Linked DNA regions of Cricetulus griseus. The protein of the gene in region 1 interacts with the protein of each later gene in a biochemical or structural test. Links are inferred from orthologs where the notes say so. Each region holds a gene or a part of one and is shown on either strand. Other genes may lie near its edges.

Region 1 (3,747 bases):
GAGGGAGGGAAGGCTTAACCCTGCAGGTCCCAGGCTTCACTTGAGCCAAGCCATGCTTGTCATCAGTCTAATCAGTCAGTGTTGTGGGAATCCAGACGTTATGCTGAGAGCTAGAGTGACACTGGGAGAAGTGGTGCTGCAAGCCCCATTCCTCTGGCTAGATTATAGATATCTAATGTCCCAAACTCAGAAATGGAGCCTCAGTCCTGAAAAACAGTCTAGTGGGTCAATAAATGTGTCATGGTAAGGATGGAGGGCAGAGGGGTCCTCGTTCCCAAAGAGTGCCATTCTGGCTGTTTTCCTCCTTAGATGGGTTCCAGGAGCTTCCAAAACAGAGTCTTCAGGCTTGGGAGACAGATTCTTCCTCCTTTGTTTATAAGTCTGGGGGGGGGGGTAATTTTTGCCCTCCAGCTCCCAAGGCCATACCTGCCTAACATAGCCTAGGGGAGGCCTGTAGAGCAGCTTTTTGAGTGTAACTTCTTGGGTACCAAGTAAGGAAGTTGAACTGTCTGAGATCTATCTTACTATCTCTGCCCTTCGCAGAGGGAGCAGAGAATCTGCCAAAACAAATGGAGTTATGTGGAATAATCTTCCAGTCATCAAATGCGGCCACTAGATCAAAGTTGGAAAGGAACTTACTTAAGATTTGAAAGCCATGGCTCTCCTAAGTCCTCCCTCTCTGCTGGTTTATGCTAAAGGTTTCTCTGCCTTGCAGCGACCTTATTCCATGCCAAGGCTGCCAGCTGCTGGACTCACCTTATCCATGTGTATATTCAGATTATTTCTGGCTACGATAGACTCAAGAAGCACAGGACATAAACCACGGGGTGCATGAAGTCAGTCTCCCATGAGCTTCCAAGTCCTGTTCAGCCCACCGACACACACACACACACACACACACACACACACACACCGTGGTCTCCATGCCTATAAACTGAGACCTGGTGGAAGAGCTGAAGGTCCAGTGTCTTTGTACTTAGGACCAAGTGCCAAGTGTCCTGGGAATTACAGGTTAACCCCAGCTAGAGGTAGGCATCTCCCCAGGGAGGCTCACCAACAAAGATGTCTCTTAGCAATAGGTTTGGAGAGGACAGAAGGCATCCCAAGAGGCTTGGGAAGAGATAAAGTCAATGAGGAAAGTGGAGTTCAGAAAAACTGTTCAGAGCAGAGTGGAACCAGCAGGGTAGTGCCGACATCCTAACCCTGCTGTGCTTGCCAGAAACCCCACTTAACAGGGCTGCGTCCCCGGGGGCCCCCTCCTACTCCCTGCCTCATTCCCTTCCTCAGAGGCAGGTCTGTGGCTTGGCTGGAAGCAGCAAGGACTGAGGGAGCACGGCTGTGGGACAGGCCACATAGCTAAAACCCGGCGGGCCATAGGGCCCCGCGGAGGAGGCCCCAGCAGGCGGACCAGGTTCCTGAAACCTCCAGACACTTCCAGCCTGTTGCTTATTCATTCAGAGTAGGAAAGCGCCAGCCTAGCGAGCGGCCAGCCAGTGTGGGGCTGGCCATGTAAGGGCCCCAGGAGGTCCTGCCCGTCGTGCCCTGCAGAAGCCTCGTGCAGCCCTGGGCACCGCCCCTGCCCTGCCCTGACCCCTTGGCCTCGAAATGCTGTCATCGGAGGAGCCGTCCCGCTCGGGACAAGGCCAGGATGGACAAAGCTAGAGCTTGGGCAGGCAAGGAGCCGTCCTGTCCTCGAGGCCGTGGGAAGAGAAAGAAGCACGAACCCGGGCCCACTCCTGAGAGCCTCTCTGCCCACCCGGCCTCTGCAGAAGGGCCACTATGGCTCTGGCCGGAGCCGGTAGCCAGCTGGGGACCCTGGTGTGGGGTGCCTGCCTGTGCGTCCTGGTGCACGGGCAGCAGGCGCAGCCAGAACAGGGCTCAGACCCGGGACGCTGGCGACAACTGATCCAGTGGGAGAACAACGGGCAGGTGTACAGCCTGCTCAACTCGGGCTCTGAGTACGTGCCCGCGGGGCCCCAAAGAGGCGAGAGTAGCTCCAGAGTGCTGCTGGCAGGCGCGCCCCAAACGTCTCAGCGGCGCAGCCAGGGGGGACCCCGGCGTCGGCAGGCGCCATCCCTGCCCCTGCCTGGGCGCGTGGGTTCGGACACTGTGCGTGGTCAAACGCGGCACCCATTCGGCTTCGGCCAGGTGCCCGACAACTGGCGAGAGGTGGCCGTCGGGGACAGCACAGGCATGGCTCGGGCCCGCACCTCTGTCTCCCAGCAACGGCACGGGGGCTCCACCTCCACCTCCGTCTCGGCCTCGGCCTTCGCCACCACCTACCGCCAGCCATCCTCGTACCAGCAGCAGTTCCCCTACCCTCAGGCGCCTTTCGTGAGCCAATATGAGAACTACGACCCCGCATCGCGGACCTACGACCAGGGCTACGTGTACTATCGCGGAGCAGGCGGAGGCATGGGTGCGGGGGCGGCGGCTGTAGCCTCGGCTGGGGTCATCTATCCTTTCCAACCCCGGGCACGCTACGAGGAGTATGGAGGTGGCGGCGAGGAGCAGCCCGAGTATCCGGCCCAGGGCTTCTACCCAGCCCCGGAGAGGCCCTATGCACCGCAGCCCCAGCCCCAGCCCCAGCCCCAGCCCCAGCCTCAGCCTCAGCCTCAACCCTCTGACGGCCTTGACCGTCGCTACTCGCACAGCCTGTACAATGAAGGCACCCAGGGCTTCGAGCAGGCCTACCCTGATCCCAGCACCGACGGAGCACAGGGCTCCACCGGGGCAGGTGGCACCTATGCTGGTGATCCCCGCCTCGGCTGGTACCCTCCCTATGCAGCCAATGTGCAGCCCGAGGCCTATGTCCCTCCACGAGCGGTGGAGCCACAACCCCCGTTCCGTGTGCTGGAGCCGCCTTACCTGCCTGTGCGCAGTTCTGATGCGCCCTCGCCGGGTGGGGAGAGGAACGGCGCCCAGCAGGGCCGTCTCAGCGTGGGTAGTGTGTACCGACCCAACCAGAATGGTCGCGGTGAGTACTGTCCTTGGTTCCACATTCTGGTCACAGGTGAATGCTGCCTCAGGGATTCAGATACTCTGTCTCTTACCAAAGGTCTCCCGGTAGTGGTTGAGCGAGAACCGTGTGGCCAACAGCAGTGAGCCTCTCCTCCCATGCCCTGAATCCATCCATTATCCATCAGGGTCACTGCATTCTGACTCTGGCTTTGGGGTAATTGAGGAAGGACTAGCTAAGCTTTAAGAAGTACTTTACAGATCTGGCTGGGGTCATCTAGGGACAAGTAAGGAAAGCCCGTCTCCCTGCCTCTCCCTCTTCCAGTCAGGGAATCTCCTAAGACTCTTAGAAATTACTTTATGTCAGATGCAAAGATTGAGGCAAAGATCTTGGGAGCTATGGACCTTCAAGGTCAAGAGGCCTTAAGGATGCTTCTGGAGGTACAGCAGTGTCCCCATGCCTGGACCTCTGTGGGCTGGCTGGTCATTGGTGAGTTATGTAGGAGGGCAAAGAGCAGCACTTGAACAGACATAACTTGCAGACCCCAAGGGGTGTCCAATAAGGCTGGGATGCCAGAGCCCACTGGCCAGGGCATACAATTCAACTGAGCACTAAAAATCTGGGTAATGAAGATAAAGTAACATTTTGGTGCATTAAAAATCCATTATGAACAAATATGTCCACATTTTAAATAGACTCAGTAACTGAAATATCAATATGGGTCCTGTCTTTATTTGAAACAGGATATTTGTTCTTTGCAGATATTTTTATTATTGATTTTGATTTTT
Region 2 (3,647 bases), on another chromosome or scaffold:
GAGAAAGGGCTGATTTTGACTCACAGTTCAAGGTTGCATCATGTTGGGGGAAGTCACAGCAGTAGCACCCAGAAGCAGCTGGTCACGTGATATCCACAGTCAAGGAGCAGAGAGTGATGAAAACTAGCTCGAACTCAATCTTTCCATTTACTCAGCTCGGGATCCAAACCAGGGAATGGTGCTGCCTGCTTCAGTTAATTTACTCAACATAATCTCCCATAGGCATGACCAGAGGCTAAGTAATCCCTCATAGGTGTGCCTGAAGGCTCATCTGGAGCCTGTAAATTGACAGTTAATATGGTCTCACAGAGAGTGAGATCGTGATCTGACAGGTATCCGGGAATCTGAGCTCTTGGTAATAACAGATTTGGCTGCCAAATCATGTTTTCTTGTTTCTGGGGTTTGTTTGTTCATTTTTTTCTGTCACACTGATAGTGATGTGCTTTGGTTTCATACAGATGTGAATGAGTGTGAAACTGAGAATCCCTGCGTTCAAACCTGTGTCAACACCTATGGCTCTTTCATCTGCCGCTGTGACCCTGGATATGAACTTGAGGAAGATGGCATTCATTGCAGTGGTAATGTGCTTGGCACTGGAGCTGTCCACCTGTTCAGAGATCTGGGGCTGGGGCAAGGAGGGATTCATCCCAGGTGTTTCCTGTCATTTCCTGGTTGCGTGTCTAGTTGGAGACATTTCCCAGTGTCATGGGAGCATAACCACACAGAACAAAGATGAGTCACTTCCTGAGATGTGGAGTTCAGGTTTACCTTCCTGATCATGTGACCTTCAACGCGACATCAGCCAAGCTTCTGTCTGGATCCCAGAGGGAGTTGGTGAGAGGGAGGGCTCACCAAATATTGCCTGTTGGTCTGAGAGTTATCTGTCCTTTCCCAGCAGTGACTCAAGACCTGAAGATGGCATAGATAATATTTATAGAGGACAGTGATCTAGGGATAATTGCTTTTGCCACTAGTTTAGGAGGACTTCGACTAAGTAAGTCGTACATGTAAGTGCTTTGGGAATTCCATCAAACAACCATAGTCCAGCTCTAGACCTGGCACACAGTAAGCATGCAGCAAACAAGTCTGGAGTCAGTAAGTAGAAGTGTGACTGTTGAGTGAGTGAAATCTTAGCCATTTGTCTCGAGAACATAAATGTGGTTTAGTTGACTTATTTATTTATTTATTTATTTTTTACAAATTCCAGTTGCTCTCATTCTCTACTCAGTCTAGTTTCTTGAGTCTGTTGTAATTATCTTATTAAACTCCTCTCCCCACCCAGAAAGTTAGATTCCTAGAAAGTTAAAAAAAAAAAAACTATTACGAAAGTAAGAACTTTTTGAGACTAAGAAACACATTTTATTTATATTTAATCTGTTGCATATCATACAATACAGAGCTATGGGCTTACTTGTATGTCTCTGTCTGTCTGCCTGCCTGTCTGCCTGTCTGTCTCTGTTCTTTGTAAATGTTTTGCTAACACAAAATCAACCCACCAGTTTTAACCTCCCCTGCAGCTGTGAATTAGCTCTGTCTGCATTAACAATGACTTTCAAAATAAAAGTAGGCAGTGTTTTAGGTGTGAAAACTACCTGGCAGAATGGAAAGATTCCCAGTCTTGGGTTTCACTGTCACAGGAGCCTACCAAGGCTGTGAATGAGCTTGTGTGCCAGCCTCCCCTAGGACTGGGATGTTCTAGGGACAGAGTTCTCAGAAACAAACGGTCACCTCTCTCCAGGGCCAGGACCCTCAGAGCCATGGCAAGCAGTTACAGAGCCTCAGCCTGATTAAATACCAGCCCTACCCAGAGGCATCAAAGGCCCCTTTCTTCCTAGATTTCAATTCCCCTCATGACATTCCTTAGGGAATCTGAGCAAAAGAACTGAGAGGTGTGGAAAGCTTTGCATTATGGGATGTAATGGATTAGTACCTTCCCCAGAGTTACCTGCAATCCCATAGACATTTATTGACCGCTGTCAGCTAAGGACTCTGGAGCCAGATGTGGCTGGGTTCAAAGCCTTGGTTATCCCTGCTTTTCATGGTCAGGGTGCTGTCCAAGCTTCAGTTTCCTCTTGGATGGATAACTGTCTTCATGGACTGGTCATAAGGAATGGGCAAATTCATGTTCCCCAATGGCATGATCACATAATGAATCTTCTCTGAATATTAGGAACTTTGGGCTTCACGAGGAACTCAAATCCTTTCTTGTTGGGCAGGATTTTCTCACTTTTCCTACATGGTCACTGGATACGACCTTCTACTAACTTTAAGGGGAGCCCTGGCTCCAGCAGGCCTTTTAGACAGCTAGCAGTGACCTTAGGAATTTGCACTTTCTCTAGATGCTGGGTTGCTATTATCTTCACTGGGTTCTCAAAGTTGGGGTAGCCCCTCTTTGCAACACTGGACACTCCTTGTCCTCCTGGGATTTACTGAGTCATGCTGATTCTAGAAGTGAGATGGGGTTTTAACAAGGAGGAATGAAAATGGCCTAAGGCCTGCTCTCTGCCTAACACCTGGCTTCTGTTTCAGTGGAGGGCAAAGCCACAGCCCTTTGTGGGGGCTGTGGGGTGGAGAACCACACACACACATGCAAAATCTTTCTAGAATTTTGGAATTGCAGATGTTAAGACAAACTATAGTGTAGTGGGTTGGTGACCCTCCTTCACCCAGTAGAAGGTAGGGTGGGTTTTTCCTCCCATTCTACAATGAAACTATGCTGAGGTATTTCTCCCATATTGGCACTCCCAGATTTGATGATTTCTAGGTCCTAAACAGAATGTTACCTCATCATGTTCACCAGAGTCGTATTGAGGTACCACATTCAGATCTGTGATTTCCTATCTAATCATTTGATCTATGAACTTGGTCTAGTTGCCAAAGCCCTGTGAGCCTATTTATTTATTTATTTATTTATTTATTTATTTATTTATTTAAAGACAGATAGTCACAGCACCTTCTCAGGGTTGAGGCGGGGATTAAATACAATGAGATATGTTGAACATTTAACATGGGGGTTGACACACAGGAGTCCTCAGGAATCGATAGACATCATTACTAAGATCAAGTAAAGGAACTAATGGAATTGCAAACTACACAGAAACAAATGATGGCATTGTATTATGATAGGCTGGGGCCAGAGTCCCCAGGTTTTTCTGAAAAGCTGGTGGAGGATTGAATAACACTGGACTATGCTAACTCCAGTTAGGGGATGACATCCTAAGTCCACTGACCCTTTGCCCATGGCTGGGAGACACCTCAGAAAGATAGGGAGAGTTTCCCTTCTTGGACAGAGAAAGCAGTGGCTATGTGACACGTGGATTCTCCAAAGACAAAGCAGCAGCCTCTTTCATGCCAACACTCTCTCTGGGTGATCTGAGCCACCAGTGGTCTGTGAGTTACAGAGTAATCCAAGGACATGTCACATGGGGAAACCAGTGGAAATGATTTTCGGGAAACAACAAATGTAAGAAAAACATGTTTTCTTTGGCATGCCTGTTGAATGAGGCGCAAATAGGGCCTACATTGCCAAATTCTGTGTGCGATGAAGAGTCGGCCTTTCTGGAATGCCTGCTCCAGTGTCAGCTGCCAAGGTCTATGAAGACTAATGGTAGCATCCCTGGGACAATGCCATCCCCAGCCATCCTCTG

The links.
Region 2: the proteins of Loxl1 (region 1) and Fbln5 form a complex in vitro, tested with the Homo sapiens proteins (2 studies listed by BioGRID and IntAct). The link is inferred for Cricetulus griseus from reciprocal best matches to the Homo sapiens genes LOXL1 and FBLN5.

Annotation. Positions count from the first base shown.
Region 1 is NC_048597.1:169,909,988-169,913,734, reverse strand, and holds the start of Loxl1 (lysyl oxidase homolog 1), read left to right. Parts: upstream 1-1,396; 5' UTR 1,397-1,779; coding exon 1,780-2,977; intron 2,978-3,747. UniProt on the Homo sapiens protein: Catalyzes the oxidative deamination of lysine and hydroxylysine residues in collagen and elastin, resulting in the formation of covalent cross-linkages, and the stabilization of collagen and elastin fibers.
Region 2 is NC_048598.1:104,252,470-104,256,116, forward strand, and holds part of Fbln5 (fibulin-5), read left to right. Parts: intron 1-458; coding exon 459-578; intron 579-3,647. UniProt on the Homo sapiens protein: Essential for elastic fiber formation, is involved in the assembly of continuous elastin (ELN) polymer and promotes the interaction of microfibrils and ELN. Stabilizes and organizes elastic fibers in the skin, lung and vasculature.